Neurospora crassa OR74A: one gene and its partners. Each later gene encodes a partner of the first gene's protein in a complex. Links are inferred from orthologs where the notes say so. Each region holds a gene or a part of one and is shown in the gene's direction. Other genes may lie near its edges.

What was found.
Region 2: arp-3 (region 1) and NCU09572 share a complex: the UniProt entries of both Saccharomyces cerevisiae proteins name them as parts of the arp2/3 complex. The link is inferred for Neurospora crassa OR74A from reciprocal best matches to the Saccharomyces cerevisiae genes ARP3 and ARC18.
Region 3: arp-3 (region 1) and NCU02781 share a complex: the UniProt entries of both Saccharomyces cerevisiae proteins name them as parts of the arp2/3 complex. The link is inferred for Neurospora crassa OR74A from reciprocal best matches to the Saccharomyces cerevisiae genes ARP3 and ARC40.

Annotation. Positions count from the first base shown.
Region 1 is NC_026502.1:2,532,402-2,540,022, forward strand, and holds arp-3 (actin), read left to right. Parts: upstream 1-3,625; 5' UTR 3,626-3,817; coding exon 3,818-3,852; intron 3,853-3,935; coding exon 3,936-3,958; intron 3,959-4,025; coding exon 4,026-4,253; intron 4,254-4,302; coding exon 4,303-4,349; intron 4,350-4,406; coding exon 4,407-4,493; intron 4,494-4,555; coding exon 4,556-5,389; intron 5,390-5,445; coding exon 5,446-5,511; 3' UTR 5,512-5,673; downstream 5,674-7,621. Other genes in the region: NCU01758 (YdiU domain-containing protein), read left to right, coding at 1-120; NCU01757 (asparaginase), read right to left, coding at 668-2,058, 2,130-2,329, 2,384-2,613. UniProt on the Saccharomyces cerevisiae protein: Functions as ATP-binding component of the Arp2/3 complex which is involved in regulation of actin polymerization and together with an activating nucleation-promoting factor (NPF) mediates the formation of branched actin networks.
Region 2 is NC_026507.1:961,036-968,197, forward strand, and holds NCU09572 (ARP2/3 complex 21 kDa subunit), read left to right. Parts: upstream 1-3,478; 5' UTR 3,479-3,732; coding exon 3,733-3,738; intron 3,739-3,979; coding exon 3,980-4,372; intron 4,373-4,497; coding exon 4,498-4,677; 3' UTR 4,678-5,012; downstream 5,013-7,162. Other genes in the region: NCU09573 (hypothetical protein), read right to left, coding at 1-1,659, 1,859-1,872; NCU09571 (tRNA (adenine-N(1)-)-methyltransferase non-catalytic subunit trm6), read right to left, coding at 5,278-7,048, 7,129-7,162. UniProt on the Saccharomyces cerevisiae protein: Functions as a component of the Arp2/3 complex which is involved in regulation of actin polymerization and together with an activating nucleation-promoting factor (NPF) mediates the formation of branched actin networks.
Region 3 is NC_026501.1:9,213,997-9,221,239, reverse strand, and holds NCU02781 (hypothetical protein), read left to right. Parts: upstream 1-2,931; 5' UTR 2,932-3,155; coding exon 3,156-3,378; intron 3,379-3,461; coding exon 3,462-4,304; intron 4,305-4,371; coding exon 4,372-4,412; 3' UTR 4,413-4,703; downstream 4,704-7,243. Other genes in the region: NCU02779 (hypothetical protein), read left to right, coding at 403-765, 850-1,083, 1,345-1,524; NCU02780 (U2 small nuclear ribonucleoprotein B), read right to left, coding at 1,703-2,014, 2,079-2,363; NCU02782 (hypothetical protein), read left to right, coding at 5,148-7,243. UniProt on the Saccharomyces cerevisiae protein: Functions as a component of the Arp2/3 complex which is involved in regulation of actin polymerization and together with an activating nucleation-promoting factor (NPF) mediates the formation of branched actin networks.

The DNA of each region.
Region 1 (7,621 bases):
GAATTTGAGGATGGACCGACCGGGAAGGGCGTTTATCAGGGTGATAAAGCGGAGGAGGAGAGATGGACGGGGGATGTGCCGCAGCAGAAGAAGGCTATGCAGTGCAGTTGTAGCTCGTAAAGGGCGAAGTCACTTTGTTGGCGAGAGATATCCTTTCTGCAACCGTAATTGCAATATTATTAGCGAAGCCTTTTCATTGATAAGTCCGAATTGCGCCGCCTTACGGGCCGTGTGGTACATACATTGATATGTGCTGGGCGTGTAAACAATTTAATTCATCGTGGACTGCGAAAACGAGGAAATGGAGGAGTACTAATGCATCACTAAACTCCGCCACGCCATGAGTCACGAAGAAATAGGGTACGATAGATAATATTATCATTGAGAAGCTCAAGGGGATCGATTAGGGTAGGTCAGGTTCCACAACATTCCTTTGAGGTTCTTCCACTTAGTCTCGCGGTTCTAAAGGGTATTACGTAGGGTATCATCAGCTCATGAACGCCGTTCCCTCTAAGCCCGCCTATGAATGCCGTTGAATCCACGCCTTCTATGCCGAGCTCCGAATTCGTTGAAGACAATTCCAAGCAAGAACGTGGAAGCCTTAGCCAAACGAAAAGCCACTAAGCGAGTAATTCTAAGAGTAATAGTCGCCAGCAAATAACTTGGATCAATCAATCCGAATCCTACGTCCACCCTGAGCCACCGGCCCAATCTCTCCAAGCCTCGACATCACAACACTCGGCTCTCGTTCCGTTGATGCCATGCTAGCCAATGCAAAAGAATCAGTGTTGTGTGCAAAGTAAAAGTAGTACCCCGTCCGATCTTTCTTGACAGTCATGACTCCGATTGCACCCGCCGACGGTTGGTTCTTGACGCCCGGATGGCCCATGAAATCGTCCAGGATGAAGGCCTCTAGCAGCGCATGCTCATCTAGCTCCGATATGCTGTGTCCTCCAAAGCCGCGGCGGCTGCTTTCAAACAGACGCTCTGCACATTTTGCTGAGGCGATCGAGGTAGCCATGTGCTCACCTGTACCACTGGTGACGGCGGCTACCGATGTGCCTGTGTGGTCGTCAGAATCCTCAGGGATCACGGCCGTTCCGATTCCGACGAGAGCAGCAGGACCGATGCGACCGCGGTGCTTTATGCCGATGCCGCCGGAAGAGGAACCTGCGGCGATGCGCCCCTTTAGGTCTATGGCAATTGCGCCGACGGTGTCGGTTATCAGATCTTCGTCCTCCTTTTGCTTCGGTGCATTCGAAAACATCGGGTCGCTGATCTGGGCGGGCGAAAGTGAGTGTTCCTCCGATTGGTTCTCCATGGTGTTCAGACTCTGGTTGTGGTCTTCCTTTACGCTCACAAACCCATCATGAGTTGACAATGACGGAGATCGTCTCGGGGTTTCCCCAGTAGCCGGGAAATAGCCAATATCTTCACTGTGACTGTGACGTACCACTGCCCTCTTCATGGCGGCTGGGCTTCCAGTACTGGCGCGTGACTGAAAAGCACCTGACACGTAATTCATGGCAGCTCGATCGACTGGCTTGCTTCCGTTGGTGAGACTTCTCTGAGGTGGGCGAGGTATGGCTGAAGGGACACTTCCAAGTGATCCATTTTCACCCAGTAAAGGGGACCCTCTACCATATGGTGAGTCGGGTTGGCCTTCGTTCCATATCCCAGTCAAAATCGCACTCGAGTGGTCCCGTCGCAAAGTCGACGCGTTTAGCGTTTCCGCCGCTTTTTCGTAGTCACTCGGTGTCGGCGACGGGCGATGTGTCTCTAGGTTTCTCAGAGACACTTGTGAGATGTGAGAGGAGTTACTACTTTGAGTAATCTGTCTTGCTTCCGCCTTTTTCAAGTCCTCTTTCCAGCGGAGAAAACGATCCTTTGCGTTCTTGGAAATGAGGTATTCGTTTGGTACGGTAGCCATCCCGTGTTCTTCGGCAAAGTCCCTAGCTCCGAGGCCCACGAGAATATTCGGCGGTACTCTTCGGAGGGAAAGAGGCTGACTACTTTTGTCCAGAATTAACTTGGCAAGCGAGATGGGGTTTTTGATGCCTGCATATGTCAACGAGTGTCAGCATGTCGTTTCTGGCCGCTCATATGTGGCACTGTCGGTTTGGGCGTACCCGAAACAGCGCCACAAGCACCACTCCTCCCCAGATGGTCGACTACAGTTGCGTCACATTCGACAACTCCATCCATGTTGAGATTACTTCCGAAGCCGGCATTCGTAATCTCTTTGTCCTCCAAACACCTGATAGCAGCTTCGACAGCCTCGGGGGCAGAAGCACCGGCTTTCAGAAACCTCATGGCGACACGGGAGGCTCTAGTTACAACCGCATCAGCAAGGGATCACCTGATGACTCTTGACTCAACTTACTCGCTGCATGCTTCCAAGTGAACCTTTTCATTCGTAATGCTATGGTACCCTGCACCTGCGTGGACAAAGATTGCCGCAACTGGCTTCGTCGTACGCTTCCATATCCTTTCGACACCACCGTCCAATCCGTATTCATGATCACCAGACCAGTTTGACTCTGAGGAGCTGTCCGACATGTCCATATCTGATTCAGGTGACCCATGGCCGGGCTCGGCATTTTTGCTGCTCATCGTGGGCGCAGCTGTGATAGAACGACTCGAGGAGATAGTCGAAGCAGCGTGTGATCTGGCGAGGTCGAGTTGTCTGGTAATCGAGCATGTGTCTTTCAAGCGAGTCTGTATTCTGAGGGCACATAGAGTCCTTAGTTTTGGTGTGTCATGGGTGACTTTTGTGCCTTGGGACAAAGATGGGCGAAAAGACTTATCGAGGCAAGGGCGAAGAGTTGGAGAAGATCGGAACGGGTGGATGAGATGAAAAGGGTGGTCGGACTTGGTGTCCCTCGTAAAAGCAACCTGCTAAAACAATGAATGGGAATAATGCTCGGTAGTGATAATGTCTTGAGGGGTATTTGAGATTGGAGCGATGCCCAATGAGCTAGATGATGCACTCAGGGTGGCCCGAGGGGTGAAGAGTCCCTTTGGATACAGTAGGTGGGCGGGATGAAGATGTGTGAAGGCAAAGGTGGCAAAATACAGAATACGACAGAGAGAGAGAGACGGAGAGAGAGACGAAACGGAATGTGGACACTGGACAGGTTGATGATTCGTTGTGATAAGTGAGAAGCTGTGAGTGTGTGTAGCTTCTCCGCAAAGTGGACTTGCTTCGAGAGGATGAAGCTGAAATGAATCCGACAGAAATGGCAGGTGTGAGGGAATCTGGCTGGAGGTGATTTTCCATTCAGTATCTCCTTCCTTCTTAGAAGGACACATCCTGTCTGGCTGGCCTTGTCGCTACAGTTTTGATACCGATCGGCCCCACTTTTTCCTAGCCATCATCGTCCGGGCCCGGGCCGTGTGCTTCAAACTCCGATGCTTGGGACCGGGGCATCGGTTAGGTTTCGGGGGGCTCGGATGGCGCGCAGGTGGCAGCGAGGTGTTTGGTTCCGTCATCTCCAGTTATGGCGTAGGTCCCGTCGCTGGAAATGCACAACTGACTAAATGGACCGCCGTACCATACGGGGACCTCGCGGTCTTGGCGCACAGCCGCACAGGTACCTCCACAGTACCACGCAGCGCTGTCAGCCAGACGAGTAAGGAGAGCTAGCTCGGCCAGGCACGTACAATCTTGGACATCAACCTCCATTTCCCGCCTGGCCTATCCACTACCCATCCACGCTCCCGCCCCGTCACTTCATCCATCACCAACTAACAACAGCCGTTGCTTTACCAAACCGCAATCATCACGAGCTGCGCGTAGCAGCACACCACCGCAACAATGGCCAACACAACCCCCGCCGTTGTCATGGACAAGTACGTGCATCCAAGTGTCCCGTCTCCACCCCGCCCGCTCCTTAACAGCTCCGGGGCCGTCATCGCTAACATCCCCTAACCAGCGGCACGGGGTTCTCCAAGCTAGGTTCGCGACTCCGACACCCCAAGATATCCAATGACCACCGATTGACCAAGCTCTTCGTCGTCTGCAGGTTTCGCCGGCAATGATTCCCCCTCGTTCGTATTCCCGACGGCCATCGCGACCAAAAGCCCCTCGGCAGGCACCGGCGGCTCGGGCTCTGGCCGCCCCGCCGTAGCCAACAAGCCATCCTTCCTCACCGGCGGCGCGGGTCCAGGTGGCCATCTCTCAGCAAAGCGCGGAACCGAAGACCTCGACTACTTTATCGGCGACGAGGCCGTAGCGGCCGCCAATGGACCTGGTACGTTGGTCTACACCGCCTCAACGGAAATGGGTGCTGACGGTGTTAGGCTACGGGTTGCACTATCCCATCAGACACGGACAGATCGAGAACTGGGTGCGTTCAGGCTGCTAGATGGCATGTCACAAATGCCTAGAGCTAACTGGAGCTTAGGATCACATGGAAAGGTTCTGGTCCAACTCCATCTTCAAGTATCTGAGAGTAGAGCCTGAGGACCACCACTTCCTCCTCACTGAGCCCGTAAGACTACACTTTCCAAGCCACATCAGTACTACGTCTGCAGCACTGACACGTCGATTCAGCCTCTCAACCCTCCCGAGAACCGCGAAAACACCGCCGAGATCTTCTTCGAATCCTTCAACTGCGCCGGTCTCTACATTGCCGTCCAGGCCGTTCTGGCCCTTGCGGCTTCCTGGACATCATCCAAGGTCCAGGACAGATCCTTGACCGGTACTGTCATTGATTCGGGTGATGGTGTGACACACGTTATCCCGGTCGCCGAAGGTTACGTTATCGGCTCGTCCATCAAGTCGATCCCTATTGCCGGTCGCGATATCACCTACTTTGTCCAGTCGCTTCTCCGTGACCGCGGCGAGCCCGATTCGTCCCTCAAGACGGCCCAGGAGATCAAGGAGGAGTACTGCTACGTCTGTCCGGATATTGTCAAGGAGTTTGCCAAGTACGACCGCGATCGCAGCCGATTCCTGAAGCACACCATTACCCAGCCCGGTGGCCGCCAAGTTACGGTTGATGTTGGCTACGAGCGTTTCATGGCGCCCGAAATCTTCTTCAACCCCGAGATTTACTCGTCCGATTTCCTTACGCCCCTGCCCGTGGTTGTTGATGGTGTCATTCAGTCTTCGCCCATCGATGTCCGTCGTGGTCTCTACAAGAACATTGTTCTTTCGGGTGGCAGCACGCTCTACAAGGACTTTGGTCGCAGGCTACAGCGCGATATCAAGCAGCTTGTCGATACGCGAATCAAGGCCAGCGAGGTGCGCAGCGGTGGAGCAAAGAGCGGTGGTCTTGATGTCCAGGTTATCACCCACAAAAGGCAACGGCACGGCCCGTGGTTTGGTGGTAGCTTGCTCGGTCAGACGCCCGAGTTCCGGTCGTACTGCCACACCAAGGCAGAGGTATGTTTCTTTACCCTTTTACCATTGGCAGTCTGGTTGCTGACGGATCTTTACAGTACCAAGAATATGGACCCAGCATCGTGCGCAGGTTCGCTCTGCTCGGAGGACCTGGTGGATCTTAAGCGTAGTTATTTGTGTACAGGAGCGAGTCCGCATCTTATTTGGCAGGCAGCGGGCGCCGATGCTTATATAATGGCGATGAATAGAAAAGAGGAACTACTTAATGCTAGTGAAGTTGGGTCAGCGTAGACGGCCAATGTGTCTGTTGTTGTGTTGATGTTTAGGAATCCGTTGCGCAGAGCAACGGTCCCCTTAAAAGGGGGGCTTAATGGTACCGATCGGCTGGTTCCGGAGGCGGCGTGCCAAGCCATTGACGGCATTCACTGTAACTCTCGGTAAGCAAGGATGTGTCAGCACCACGACCACCGGTTCGCGCCGGGTGGCCTGATATGGCCCGACAGTTCTGGAACTGGCCGAACTCCCATCGGGCAAGCTAACCGATAGCTTCGCATCAGTTTCACAACTTGCTGATTTTTCTCTTCATTTTTTCAATGTTGTTCCTATTCTCAGCCCATTGATTAGATTCTAATCAGGACTGGGCTCGATTGTCATGTTGAAAGATGTTGCCTGACATGCTCGGACGTCACCTCACAGTAAACCGACCGTGTTCCCAGAGAGCATTCACAGTTTGGAGGGTTCAGTGATCAGATTGCTTACTTTGCGCCGGGCAAGGAGCAAAAGGTTATGCAACTTTCTGCATGCCTTCATAGAGGTCGGTACCATAGGTATGGGTAGGTAGGGTAGGTAGTACGACAAGAATGCGGGGAAGAAGCTTCGTCGCTGAAACCAGGGGTTCCAGACCGTCCTTTGGTGGCTTACAAGCCAAGCCTCCTCGTCACCTGCACCGGCTAAGTTTGCTGTTTTGAGGCTTCTTCGCTCGAGCGGAAGTTGACTTTTATTTTTTCCTTTTGTTTTCCTTCGTGTTTGCTGGAAACGATAATTGATCCATACTATTTCCATCAGCCTCCGTTTCAGCTTTACCACCAACCCAACCAGCGTTGACAAAGGCGCGGGGAAAGGGTGAGCCACGACGTCCACGAGATCTTCGACGAGGAGGTGGAGGAGGAGGAGAAGGAGGAGGAGTGGTTGGCACAGGTTTCAATGTGTAGCGTATGTAGTGGTGGGTTCGAGACAGTGGCTTCCACTTCGGTGGAGCGGAAAGTCGTTTATGTATAGGTACGCAGTACACTACACCACACTAGAAAGTGTGGGGGTGGAACATGACGGCGGGGTCTCGGATCGGACCCGCGCGCTGTCAACGACTTTAGTTAGTTTAGGCAAACACCGTATCCAAGACTGTACTCGGATCCAAGGTGCCGACCACCGGGTGTTTGGTTCTGCGACAAACAGTGAGGTTGATGAGAAAGTTCCCACAAAAATAAGCAGGGACGGTGAGATTTCGGCCGCTCCATAATGACTGGCAAAAGCGTCTCATAAACCACGAGATGGGACCAGAACCTCAGGTGCTTCACGGCATTGTTGACATGATGAGCGGGAAAAGGGCCGTTTCCATGTGGCGCCTCACGAGAACAACCTAACGATGGTCCGGGCGACACTAGCCGGGCTCCGCTGAGGCTGGATAGGGCGGGCTGTCCCCCAACGGGCACCCCCGCTGTCATCACTCGACTCAGCGCTCCCGCCAGTTCCACACTCACTGAAGCTAACATAGGTCTCATCCCAGCCTCCATCTCTTCAGTTACATCACTCGTGCCCAAGTTGGGACGATCGCGCTCGACATGCGCCAAGAGCCCACGATTTCCCCCAGTCCTCCTTTTAGCTTTCTCCTCTTTTGCACATCAACACCGGGGGACCTTCACTATGCTAATAGCTTAGTGCATGATCAGCTTCATCTAACAAGAGCTCGTGACCTTGTTTGCTTCCAACTGTTGGCGTCCGAGTGCCAGCTCCCCCGCATTTTGTATGTACAGTTGACAGAAGCGGAGATCTCCCCTCTTGGCTTCTCAATTTCTCTCTAAACCTTCGGAAACCTTGAACCGGCCGATGCAGCAACTCCATTGAAGCTTCCCTTGGATCAATCAAGCTGCTGACGGGGACTGGATGGGGGGGCTTGAGAGGGGTATCCACCGGGCTGATGGAAAAGGGCAGACAATGGGCGATTGGCCAGTGGGAGCTCCCCGTACCGTCACATCCTCTACGTCCCGCCTCGCCCAT
Region 2 (7,162 bases), on another chromosome or scaffold:
GTGGCGTCGCTCTCGGGCGCCTCCTCCTCGAAGCTGCTGTTATAAACCTCGGACAAGGGTTCCCGTTGGCTATCACTCTCACTATCCCCCCTGCTCTGGCTCTGGGAGCTCGTGGCGCTTCCCTGGCTGTTGTAGCCCTGACTGCCCTGACTCTGTCTTTGACTCTGACTTTGACTTTGACTCTGACTTTGACTTTGACTCTGACTGCTCGGACTACTTTGCGACTCCCTTCCTCCTTGCCTATCAGCACGTCGTTTCCTCGAGTTGGATTCGTTCTTCGGTGGTGTGCTGTTGTTGGTAGCGCCTTTGCGTGGCTCCACGAGGAGGTCCCAGAAGCCGATGTGATCGGGATAGAGGTCGGAGTACACGTCCGGACCGACAAGGTCCTTACCCAGCGCCCTCGCTAGACGCTCTTTCAAACCGAGAATGGGCCAGAAGGGGACGGGCGTCATTGTTATGTCGAGACTGATCTGCTTCTTCGCTTTCTTGGACGATTGGGGTACCTTGAGCGGGTACAGCCACCGCTCCATGTAATCTGCCGTAACCGTCGCCGTGTAGACAAGGAACCGGGGGTTGTTCTCGATGCCCTCGTCGTGGGCAATGATTGCAACCTTGGTATCCTCGAACTTTGGTTCCGTAAGCTCGAAGAGTTTGCCGTTGCTGGAACGCGTGGATTGTTGGGAGTCGGATTTTTGCGAGTACAAAGCGTCCTGGTAGAAATTCGATTGCGCCATGGAGACCATCATCGCGACAAGATACGGATCCTGATCGACGTCGGCGGGTATCAAATGTTTCGAGCGTAGTGCTTGTAGACCGGCGACAGCGTCATTGGGGTTGAAGGGCGTCTGAATAATCCTAAACAGGTTTTGTCGTATTAAAGCTAGCTGCGACTTGTTGAAGTAGGCTAGAATCGGCATGTTGGGTGTCTGCTGGGGTATTTCAGGCTGCGGCTCCTGCGGGCTGTTGGGTACGTAAAAGGAGTCGTTTGGGACCGTGGGTATTGTTGCGAATGAACTGCCGATGGGTGTCTTCCACAGGCACGGGATGCGCACCGCCTTCCGGAAGACGCGCTGGCCAAAGTAAATGTCAAGCTCGGCGTTCATCTTGGGGTTTGCTAGCCTATCCGGGAAAAAGATGCCCATTGCGTTCTTCATGGCCATGTTTTTGCAAAATACTCGTGTCATGGACGGTTCGTTCCTGATAAGGGTGTGAAGTTGGTCGGTGAGCTGGCGCGCAAGGAGCGAAGGATCGAGCCATTGCCCATGAATAGATTCCGGTACCGGCGTGACAATAGGGGCACCTTCGGTGAACGATGCGCCAAGGAGCGTGGCATGGAGATCTGTCCAGCAAATGGGAAGAACGTAAAGCGATTTGCCAGAATTGTCGTGCATTATGTCGTATATAGAGCCTTCATCGGGGCGGTATACCCGGGGAACCTTTCGTTTCTTTGGGTTGGTCCGTTTCCGGCGCGGCGGCGATGACGTCGATGCATCGGTACTTTGGCTGCTGAAGGCGGGGCTGTGAATTTCGGAGGCTGAGGCCGGGGGTTGTTGTGTAGGGCCCGGCGATGGGCCGGCTATGTCGCGTGAGGCTGACATGGCTACCTCTATCATGGCGCGCAGTTGTCCAAACAAGGTGCCACTGCCAGAAATGAGGGACCTGAAGACAAAAGAAGCCGGGATTGGAGGCGCGCGTCAGCTATGTAGTTCCAGGTTGTTGTAATGTGGATGTAACGTTGGCGCGATGCAGCTATTGCCAGAACGAATGGTCGTCTTGAGAAATAAGAAGTGTTGCCGCGATGATATGATGAAAGAAGAAAAAAGAGCGAAGTCGCAAAATGAAGCGGGACTGGACGTACTCAAATGCGGTCATGAAAGAAGCAAGTGGACGGGAACTATCTCGAAGGGGGGAGAGTGTTCCTGGTCCGTAGGTAGGTAGGTCGTCTTCTTTTGTTGACCTATTCAATGGGCGGAGCGCAGTGCAGTGAGTGGATGCGACAGCTCTGCTAGGGCGGATCGGCAGAGCGTTTTGTGGAGGGAGTGATGCGCGCGTCCACTGCAGTGCACGTTCCCTTTTTCTGGGGTCCCCTTTTTCTGTTGATCCAAGTCAGCCCCACGCACAAAACACAGGTGAAATCACACCAAATTCGCAGCGCCGGTAAAACATGCAAGCAACTCACCTGAAAACGAATGGTGCTTGGAATGATGTTTTGTTTTGGTTTGAGGAATGGAGAAAAGCGATCCAAAACAAGTCGCGCTGGTAACGACTGAGTCACCGTAAAGAGGGGGGAAAAAGCACTAGGATCAAAGTTTGCCTCCTAGTTCAAAAAAGTGGGAGGGGTTTGTCCGGGTTCTTGTGTTTGTCTTTGGGCGTGAAGAAGCGGAGGGCTGGTTTTAATGAACGATTGAAGAAGGCAGTTGTAGGTAGAGGAGAGAACCGTGACGCAGTGAGTGATGTGATGGGACTGGAGAACCCCAAATACCCCTCCATCACCCTTTCTCAGTGGACGGCGCACGACGGCGCTTTTGATTCCGCGTTGGTGCGTACACTACTATCACAGTACCTCTAAGCAGCGTAGTAGCGCTCTCGACTGGTGGTGTGCCTGTCGGGTGTGTGGCAGTCCCCGGCCGGATTTGCGTCGGATGAACAATTGCGCCAACAACAGCCAGCCAAGTCTGGACTGCTGGCTGATTTCATCATCTACGACGCGCTAGCACACGAGCTCCCGTGACTTATTGTCTTGGCATCCCCTCTTGTTTCTTCAATGTTTCTGCTTTCTGAGTCTTCTCCTCTCTCCTTGACGACGGGCCCCCCTGTTGTTCAAACAGGCAGCGGTGGGCGCAGCGCGGCGTTCACGGTGTTGAACTTCGTCCTATCCAACCAACATTCAGGTGTTGGCTCTCTTCCAGGTTGTTGGACTCGACCACGGCGTGAACCTCGGTCAATCTTCTTCCTTGAAAAATTCCGCCATAATGAGTAATGATGGGATGGATCCTTGGAACACCATCTTGAGCATGGAGTCCTGCTCTTTGTCTGGATTCCGAGACACAGCAGCTTAAGTTGCATGGAAAGCGGGCGCTCACGTCGAACGCGGTGGCTGACTACATGACACGTGAAGAGTCTTTGTGTAACTGAATCTTCCTCTGTATACCAATGGAGTGGCATTTTGACTTGTTCACATTCGCTCTCCTCCTTCAGATGATGCATTGTGCAAGACCTTCCGATTCCCCCGGGACTAGGTGGCTCCACTTCAGGCCGCAAAGATCCACTTTATCGGAGTCAAGCGAGCTGCTGCCTGTCCGATGACGAGGCCGGCTCCGGTAACTCTACACGTGATGGGAACCGGGAGTGCTTCATTGACTGTACCAGGCCTCATCCGGAGTCCGGACACAGCCACTGCTGAGCCACAAATTCAAATAGAAAGGTAACGCACAGACCAAGTCCAGCTCTACTGTCACAGAGTCCGTCACAGCGGCACGGTGCAAGCAGCGGTCGTCACCGCCAGCTCGACGTCAGCGCAGGAGAAGCCGCCATCGCCCATCGCTGGCACGCTGCAGGTCCAGGAAGGCCAGCCCAAGTCCAATTGACCCCATCACCCCGCAAGGCTGCGCCATAGAACCCGGACGCGGTCAAGTCAACACGACATCCCAGATTTACCTAACTTCCAACTTGAACACCATTTGCTTAATCTGGTAATAGCTTCATAGAGGGAGCTTGACACCAACCGTCACAATGCCGGTAAGCGCACCCATTCGCAAGCTCCCAACACCCAGCCGCTATGCGTATAGCTTCCCCAAGCTATACCAGCCAGCCAGCCAGCTACCCCTTAATCGTCAGACAAAGCTTCGTCCATGATCGCATCACCACCACCCACAACACCACGAACCGCTTTGCGCCCAATCGCATTTCTTCGCCTCTCGCCTCACCTCACACACAAATTCCCATTCTCAATCTCTCAACTAACGACGCCACTCTCTAGGCCTACAACTCCGTCTTCAACGCCGACCCCTCCCCCCGCCTAATCGGCAACTTCCCTCTCTTCCCGCTTCGCACCAAGATCCGCGGGCCGATCTACCCTCTCCCCTTCCCGGACCCTCCGCTCGCCGCCAACGAGTCGCCCGACCCGGACTCGGAGTCATACGACATTCTGGACGAGACGCTAGCTCTCTTCCGCGCCAACACCTTTTTCCGCAACTTTGAGATCCAGGGCCCCGCCGACCGCCTGCTGGTCTACGGCATCTGGTACATCAGCGACTGTCTGGGCCGCATCAAGCCGCACTATGGCGTTAGGGAGGCGACGAAGGAAGTGAACAATGCGGCGCTGGATGTGAACTTTGCGTTGCCGGGCGATCCTGGGTGGCCTTTGAATCAGGTGAGTTTTTTTGGCGTAAAGGATTTAGGGCGGAGATAGAATACGGTGAATGTGATGGGAGTAGATGTGGCCCGCGGCGGTGAACAAGAAAATGGATGGCAGCTAATAAGTTTGACGCAAAACAGATGTATGAACCCCCCCGCGACCGTCAAGACGCAGAAGTCCTCCGTCAGTACCTGTCGCAGGTCCGGCAGGAACTGGCGCAGAGGTTATTGGCGCGCGTGTACGACGACGAGACCGAGGACAAGCCGAGCAAGTGGTGGTTGAGCTTTACCAAGAGGAAGTTCATGGGCAAGGGACTCTGATGCGATGCCTTCCCTGTTCAGATGGCGTTGCATGGAATCGTTTAGCGCCAAAGTATAATACGTACTCTACACAAATAATATTTCAAGTTTCCTAGAGTGTGAGGGTGTGTTGGGGCGAGCGAGCAAGACTTTCAGTTGTTGTTGTTTTTGCGTGGTCCGGTTCGATCAGGCATAGATCGAGTACACATACACTTGAAACCCGATCATGAGCGACATGGGTTATATCTCCAGTTGACGTTCGATTAGTAGAATTACTGCAGCTCTATTTCGTGCAAATGGTATCTAAGAGCAAACGAGATCTATGCATATCGGTCATGCTGGTTCTCCTAACTGCTACCACTATCAGACTCCTGCTCATTGTTTGCCCGCCTTTCATGGACAAAGCATAATCATTTAAACCCATGGTCGCCTCCACTCCTCCTCGGCTGGTCGAGTCCACCTACTGTAAGCGAGCCTCGAAACGCTCTAACTGTCTTTTCCTTTCTGACTTTCCCTCGACCTCATTGCTTCCGTGGAAACCTCTGTGTGAGATCTTCCGATGCACGGGGAGAGAAGTGGCATCCTTGAACTCCCATAAATAACTCTTTCCGACCAATCCACTCATGCCGAAGCCGGCGTCGAAACGCTCTCCTCCACCTTTCTCCTCTTAAATTTGCCCTTGGCCGCAATCTTGCCCTCCGCTGGCTTCGCTCTCCATCCAGTAAAGATATATCCATCCGCACCACCGCGCTCCGTCATCAACGGATGCGTCCTGCCCGGCAACACCTGCCACCTCCTCGCCCTGCTAGTCTGGATGCTTGTGCCCAGTAACAGCGTGGGGTTGAGAGGGAACTGCTCGCTTCCCTCCCACTTTTCCAGCTCTTCGGCCGTCTTGCCCTGGATCTCCGCCACGTGTCCGCTGTTCCACGCCGTCCTCCTGGCAACGCTGAAGCAATCGGCTAGTGTCGCGAGAGGCTCGAGAGAAGGGGAGTAGATGGCCACGGGGGCGCCGCCGGCCAAGAGGGGAAGGGCGTGCTTGAGGATCGAGATCGGGTCCATGGTGCTGGCGCAGACGAGGCCGGAGAAGTTGCCGGCGCGCGTGCTGTCGACAATGTGGCGAACGCGGGCGTAGCGTCTGCGCTTGCGGTGGAAGTTGCCGCGGCGGCTGGGCTTCCAGGTGCTCAAGGTCTCGGGATCGGCAGTGAGGGGAGGGGTCGAGTACGAGGTGTCGAGTTCGGGCTTGAGGAGCTGCAGCCAGCTGAGCGTGAGAAGGTGGTTCAGTAGCGGGTGCGGCGGGTGTTGTGGGGCGGTGACATCGAAGTTCCAGTAGTTGAGGAATGAAAGGTTCGGTTGGCTGGCGCCGTGAAGGACGGTGATGGTGTTGGTTTGCGAAAAGGGAACGGCGAAATCGGAGTCGCGCGGCTTGTTGTCACGCGGGCGCTTGGGGTGTCGGGGAAGAGTTGTTGTCTCTGATGTTGCTGCTTGCTGTTGTCCGTCAATCATTTCCGTGTCTTTTTGGCTGGTCGTGTCAGATTCCTGTTTTGGTTCCGTCTCTTCCTCGGCCTTTTCTGTGGCTTCCTCCTCTTCCGCCGCTTCCTCGGTCTCGTCATCTTCCTTGTAGAGAACACCCATGCGCTCGGCCATGGCTGCGACTAATAGACCACCGGTATCATCGACAACTAGCCACCTTCCAGCCAGCAAGTCCTCTTGCAAGGGTGCAAGAGCCTCCTCTCCTTGTTCTGTTGTCGCCTTGGGATCCTCCAGGAAGACGTCCGCACCGCCATAGTGAACGTTACCCCAGCAACCGACCAAACCCATCATCTCGGCGCGAATGTCCAAGATCTTGCTAGCATCTCTCTCCTCCAGCTGCCAGTTGGAAAAGGTGGGAACGTCGATGGGCAGGACCTGGAACCTCCTGATGTACTTCTTCGTCTTCAACAGCTTGTACTTGGACAAACTGAAACTAGTCTTCTGGTCGAGAGCAGCATGCGACAAGAGAAGTTTGGCGATGACGTCCTTGCCGGCGTTGGTCCCGTCGCGCTTCAACTCCTCGATTTCCGCTTGTGTCAGCTTCTGGCGGGCGTTCTCGTCGATAACTTCTTGGGTAGACCGCGCAATGACGTTGCCGCTCTCGGCATCGACTAAGCTGAATTCTTCGCCAGCGGCGGTGGCAATGACGGCGTCATTGTTCGAACCAGGACCGGCAGCGGGGTTGGCGCATTCGGCGTCCTCTTCGGCGAAGACATCGGCGTAAAGTTCGGAAGGGGGGACGACTCGGAGGCGGGAAAAGCTTTCTTCGGGAAGCTTGTCTTGGACCTCAAAGGTAAGGTAGTATGGGCGTTCGAGGATTAGGTTGGCGGGGAAGGTGCCGTATTTTCCAAGGGAGATCGATCTGGTGGTGCGATGAAGGCATATCAGCATCTCACCATGTTTTGTTTACTTTGAAGCCGCCATTGTTCTCGGTTGACGTACGTATTAGGAGTGACCTGGATAACTCTGGTAACAC
Region 3 (7,243 bases), on another chromosome or scaffold:
GTCAGGGTTGGGTCTGTCATTAATTACTCCCGGCGGTCTCGCAAACTTCCATCTCTAGGTAATGGTTGGCGTTTATGTATTGAGGTATTGTGGAATGCATGGAGGGTATATTTTTCATGCATATGATCATAAATGAAGAACATGTGAACAACCACAATACCTCTAACTTTGAGTTACGACCCCTTCCTTATCTTATCACCCTCTCCCGTCCGTCTCGTCCCGCTCACTAACACCGTCCCGCCCGGCCGTGACAATCCAGTTCCACATGCGGTAACATCGATATGTATGTCCCAATTTCTCCCCCATCCCATCCTTCACCACTGCACCACTCAGCAGACCGCCCACCGTCTCACCATATCACAACCACACACCTCACCATTACCGAAAACACTCTTGATCAAAATGTACTCCCTGGAAATCCAAAACTACCCCCACCTCACCCCCTCCGAGTTCGCCGAGGCCGCCCACCACCTCGACCGGCGCTACAGCCAAGCGACCCTCGGCCCGCTCCGGCGCCAATGGAAGCTGCGCGTGCGCTCGGCGCTCAACACCCACTTTGTCTCTCCTTCGGATCCCGAATACAGCACTTTTATCCAAATCACGAGACCGCTCGAGGTCAATCTGGATGATGATGGCTTATCCGAGTTTTTGGATAATTTGTGTTTTTCTGAGGGGCCAGCAGCGGTAAGGGGGGATGAGCGGGAGGGGGAGGGTGTGGTTGGTGTGAGTGAGGGGATGGAGGTTGAGGATGATGATGATGATGAGGTATGTTTTCTTAATAAAAACAGTGGGTTGAAGGGGGGGTGGGTGTGGAATGCTGATAATATGTGGTTTACTGGGGGAGAAAAGGCCATGGTTTTGCCTTCTAAACATCAACAACAGCAAAAGACAAGTTATGGCTACGTCACATACGAAATACACCTTCACCCGACATATCAAGCGCCTTGTCTGTGGTTTTCACTAAACGGACTGCCGGCGGATGAACCAGCCTTCAACATCGACACCGTCTTTCGACGTCTTGTACCCGATCAGTTCAAAGATGGACTTCGCCGCGCGGGTTCCGTGGGTGGTATCTCAGCTGATGTAAGTTTTCTCTTCTCTTCTCTTCTCATCTCATCTCGTTCTTTGTATTTGTGTCTTGCGATTTGGGTGGGTTCAATCTTCTCGCTGTTGAAACACCAAAAAGTTAACTAGGGCTGAACTCCTTTTTCTCGCTCTTTGTGACTTTGTTGTGAAACATAAAGATATGAGAAGGACAAAAAGAGAGAGAAAGAGAAAAAAAAAAGGTGCCTATACTAACACACGAATGTCCCTTCTTTTGAATTATTTCGGCCATACAAACAGTATCATCCCATCACAGGCCTTCCCACCTTCTTCGTCCACCCTTGTCTCCTCGGCGAGGCCATGTCGACCTTTGACAATGTCTCGATCGAGAACTACCTGATGGTTTGGCTTGGACTCGTCGGCGGCTGTGTCAGCCTTTGGGTCCCCAAGGAAATGGCCTTGGAGCCTTCCTCCGCCTAGAGGAAGTGGGAGTAGCGCGGTGTATGTTGTACATGCAGCTAGCGGTGCGTCTTCTGCATTGTCCTTCGAGAGGGCGAATTTTTCATCCATCCGCTTCATTGCGCCTTCATTTTTCGTCATCCTTCCCCACCGCGAGCTGGTATCTTAAACAAGAAGCAAATGCCATAGTGGACACCCATCAGTCCTCGTCGCTGTCTTCCTCCATAGCAACGTCCGAATCGCTCTCCTCCTCTTCTTCCTCCTCCTCCCGTGGCCGCTTCGTTCCCCGGTTCTCCTCTGCCGGTGTGGTTGTCTCCGTCCCGGGAGGCTTGGCTGGCGAACCTTGTGGTGCTGGACTCTCGGTATTCGTAGTAGGGGCGCCTGGTACTGGGGCACTAAAGATACTCTGTTGGACGGTGGTGAGGGCCACGGCGGCGGCGGCCTTGGGTGGCACGAGAGTACCGTCGAGTTTGGCGATGATGTTGGAGCGGCCCTTGGCGTAGGTGATTTTCTAGGCAAACCCAAGTTAGCATGTGAAGGGCTACCGCTGAAATATTCAACCCGAGAAGACCTACCATTTTGCGGCCCAAAAACTCCATGCCGTCAAGTGACCTCATGGCCTGTGTTGCTGTCTGAATGTCCCGGTAGACAATGTGTGCTTGCCCGCGCATCTTCATGGTCTTGAGAGCGACGACATCGAGGACGGGGCCGTAGGTGGAGAAGAGCATGTATAGTGCTGTACGGAGGTCGTCCTTCTGGATCTTAGCTGAGGGGAGGTTCGTGACGTAGAGAGTCTGGTTTGGCGGGTTCGAGACCACCTTTTGGGGGAGGCCCGCGGGGGGAGCAATACGCGTAGCCATTGCCGCGTAGGAATCCGGGAGTTGATGCTGTTGTTGTTTGTCCAATGCAGGTTGTTAATTGTCGCGTAGATTTTCAGTATATCGTAGGCGCCTCGTGGTAGGGGTTAATATCGTCAATTGTCTCGTCGTCGTCGTCGTCGTCGCTCGGGTGTATGATGTTCAGTGTTCAATCATGAATTCAAGTCGCGGCGGCGCATGCGATGTCGACAATTCAGATGCTGGTCCAAAAATTGGAGACAGTGGCCAGCCAGCCTACGAACCATCGAAATCGGTACACAAACCCCACGGGCGTGGGTGCAGCTTGTTGGAGGTACTGCGGTTGCGAGCAAAAGTAAAACCCCCTTGTCAGGTATCTTGCACGGACCACCACAGCCAGAGCTTCGTGAGCACTGTGTGGTCGACGACCTGATCCACGGGTTTAACTTACCCATCTCACCATAGTAGGTTCCAGTTCCAGGTGGGTCAGCCCCGGCCGGCAGCAGGGCACTCTTGGCGGCGTCACCCACCCGCAGCCAACCCCACCACCATACGCTGCCGCAACGGTGCCCCTGGAGCCTGGCGGTCTGACCTCATTTCAGGCGTCCAGCCCGCTGTAGTTACGGAGCTCTCCCGCTTCCCGTTCCCGGGCACAGCTTCCCCTTTCCAATTACAACATCCGGCTCCGACACCACCGAACCAAGACATTCGATCACACTCTCCGTCATCACCGTCCCCGATTCCGAGCGCGGTAGTAGAGAGCTATACTCCTATCGCATACCTTATTTCTACACAACACCAACCTAACAACCCACAATGGCTGCTCCCGAGGTCCACCATCTCTTCCACCACCCCATCGCCGACCACTCCTTCTCGGCCGATCGCCAGACCTTGGCCATTGCCCGCGACACCCAGGTCGAGCTCTACGGCAGAGTCGGCAATGCCTTCAAGCTCAAGGATGAGCTCAAGGGCCATGACAAGCTTGTCACCAGCGTCGACATTGCTCCCAACACCGGGCGTATTGTGACCTGCTCTCAGGGTAGGCCCCCCCTTTCGCAACCCAGGCACCCCATAATGCCACCATCACAGTCAGCTAGACTAACAACCAACCCCAACTCACAGACCGCAACGCCCTCGTCTGGGAACCCTCCCCCACCGGCTACAAGCCCACCCTCGTGCTCCTCCGTATTTCCCGCGCCGCCACCTTCGTCCGCTGGTCTCCCTCGGAAGCCAAGTTCGCCGTCGGCTCCGGCGACCGCGTCATCGCCATCTGCTACTTTGAGGAGGAAAACGACTGGTGGGTATCCAAGCACCTGAAGAAGCCGATCCGATCCACCATCACCTCTGTCGCCTGGCACCCCAACAGCGTTCTTCTTGCTGCCGGCTCCACCGACGCCCACGCCCGCGTCTTTTCCGCCTTCATCAAGGGCACCGACCAGCGCCCCGAGCCGAGCCCCTGGGGCGAGAGATTGCCTTTCAACACGGTCTGCGGCGAGTTCCTGAACAACTCTGCCGGATGGGTGCATTCTGTTGCCTTCAGCCCGAGCGGCGACGCTCTGGCGTTTGCGGCGCATGACTCCTCCATCACCGTCGTCTACCCCTCTGCGCCCGAGCAGCCGCCCAAGGCGGTGATCAGCATCAACACGCAGCTTTTGCCCTTTATGAGCCTCTTCTGGAACGGAGAGACTGAGATCATTGCTGCGGGTTACGATTGCGAGGCTTTCCGCTTCCAAGGCGGCGAGCAGGGGTGGCAGCTGGCCGGCACGCTGGAGAAGGCCAAGGCCGGAGGAAGACCGGGTCTTGGTGACGAGGACAGAGAGGAGTCTGCGCTGAACATGTTCAAGCAGATGGACCTGAAGGGTAAGGTCAGCAAGGATGATACCATGTTGAAGACGGTGCATCAGAATACGGTTACTATGTTGAGGCCCTTTGAGGAGAGTGGTGGACGGGTGACCAAGTTTAGTTGTGAGTGTTCCCCATTTTTACATGACCTGTGGTTTCAAGAATTATTGATGCTAACTTGACACAACAGCGAGCGGTGTTGACGGCAGAGTCGTCATCTGGCACACCTAGATTTCCCCTCGATGAAAGAGGGTTGCTGCACACATTGGGAAGCAGAAAAGCCAAGCAAGCAAGCGTAACATCTAATGTTAATGGAACAAGAGTGAATGGCTGATAATGAATCAGATTCAAAGTCAAGATCCATCAATGTCAGTTTAGCGGGTAACTTTCCCGGTCTTTGATTTCTGCCCTATCCGTGCTTCCCGGTATCCGCCAAAGTGATTGATTGTCCATTCACCCATTGTACAGAGACTTATCATGTCACTTCTCCACAGTGAGCTATCCGTTTGTCATGACCGCCCGGCCAATTTTGCAAGATATGTATGTGTGAATCAGACACACAGTCAAGAACAAATACAGGTTCAATACATACAAAGCAATTCATTGACTTCCGCTTGTGGCTTGCCGGACACATTCCGATTTGCCGTGATAACTTCCATAAAAGGATCATAAGAGAACTAATAACCGGCAGCAGGAGAAGTGCATGTCACAATTCATGTCCATACCTACCATTGTTTTGTCCCTGTCGATTATTTATTCCATATCCTTTCGCTCCTCATCCAGACCTTCAGCTTCAAAAGCAGTTTACCATAAGTAATCAGCCGTCCGTCACTCCGTCCCTTTCAGCTATCCAAACAAACTCAACTTACCTCGCTTTGCCTCCATCTTCCCTGCCTGCCTACTTCGTTGTCTGGTTAGAAGAAGAAACAGCGGGATCAGAAGAACCAAACAACAACAAACTGAACCATGGACCACAACAGTTCCTACGACTACTACCCATTCAACCACCCCCAACACCCTCTGTACTTTAACCCCGTATCTCCTGTTCATGTTCCTCCTCCTCCTCCTCCTCCTCCTGGTCATCCAGAACCAGAGGAACAAAAAGACTACCACCACTACGCTCCCGCATCACCAAGCGACTTTATTTACAACGCCAACTCCTCTGTCAACACCACCACCGCCGCTAGCATCCTTCATCATCATCATCATCGGCATCCTTCCCGCTCTTCTCGATCTTTATTCTCCAACGAGCCAGTACTCGCCTATCCACCTCGGACAGTGGGGTCTAGGTCTGTTGAGCAATCATTTTCGAATTACTTACCTGGGGTACTGGAACCAAGTCTACCACGACCAGCACCAGGTTTCGAGGAGCATCGACGCCAGCGGCAATCAACGATGATGACCATGGGGCCGGGACCAAGTAAATCGGTACCTTCTCCACTGTCACTGCCCCTCAGTAGGGAAGGAGGAAGAAGTGGTAGGAGGAGGATGAGCGGGTTCAGTTCCGGTGAGGAGACAGTGGTGGTGATTAAGCGGGAGGAGGAGGAGGAGGAGTCGGTTCCTTGGGTGTCGATACCGTTAGAGCAGAGGGTGAAGAGGTGGGTGCCGCGGGTGCCACAGGGAGAACAGGGAGAACAGATGAAGCAGGTGGAAGAAGATGCGGTGGGAGGTGTGGTGGGAGGTGTGGTGGGATACGTGCCCCTAGGGACGGAGGAGAGTGGGGTCAGTGGTAGTAAGACTTGGGAGGAAAGGGGGGAAGGGGTGGTAATGGAGAGGGTTATGATGGTGCCGTCGGTGGTGTCTAGCGTTGGTGCCAATGCCGGTGTGGAAATGGTGGCAGGGATGATGGGTACGGCGATGGGAATGGGAATGGAACCAACAATAACGCCAAAGATGGGCCTGTTCAAACCCATCAGGTGGGATGGACCGTCTTCTGCTTCGAGGGCTAAGGCTAAGGCAAGGAGGGTACGTGCCTGGGAAACCATGGAAGAACAACATGGTGATGTTCATCTTCGACGGACTCCTCCTGGAATTCAGAATCGAAGCAGCAACAGAGACCGAAACGACGAAACCGAAGACGAAAAAGTTTCCGACGCCCCCATCTCTCCCCATTCTCGCTCCCCAAAGAGATTCAAGACCTCCTCCTCCCATTCAGGATACATCCTTCGTCCAGGTCCATGTCCAGCAGAAACAAAAACAGACACAGAAATAAAGCAAGAACCAAGCCTCTCACCTCCACCATCCGCCGTTTTGGCTCAGATTCCCATGTTTGATTCCTTCGATTCCCTTCCACGCAACAACAGTGGCTATGAATCCTCCGGTCATGACGACAATTCCCTTTCTTTGCGAAGTATCAGCCCTTTGACTCGGGTCCCGACACCTCATCGTGTGCTGTTCACTACTACTACTACTCCGAACCGGATCATGACTGGAACTGGAACCAGAGAAACGACCCAGCCTTCATTGAGGGCGGTGAGTAAGCAGCTGAAGAAGAGGAATCGGGAGATGGCGCTGGGTCAAGGTCACGGGCGGGAGGATAATCGAGAACGGAGTCGTGAACCAAGAAAGAAACGAAGAGAGGAGGGGGCGTGTTGGGGTTTACCTGGCGGTAGTCAGAGACAGACTCCAGCTCAGGGTGCTAACTCTGCTGCTCAGCAAAAACAACAACAACAACAACAACAACAACAACATCGAGAATCTTCCGAAGGGAGAGAACAAGGCTGGACAACCATCTCGGGCAGCAGTGAAGAAGGGGAAGCAAGCAGTCATTACGAAAACAGTTACAGTTATAGCTTTGGTCAACAGGAGAGGGATAGGGATGCCGCTGCTGCATCAAGTACGTCTAATCCCCTTTCTTATACCGATCAGGAAGAAGAATGGTGTCGCCCTTTTTCTTTCTCATCGTCGTCATCGTCGGCCGCACCCGTCTCTTTTGAGACCTCAGCGAGATATGATCATGATTATGAATCCGCTCCTCCGTCACTGTCGGCCTCGCAGGAGAGAAGAAGAACAGAAGAAGAAGGATACCGCCAAGCGATACAAATGGCGCAAGACACTTGTCT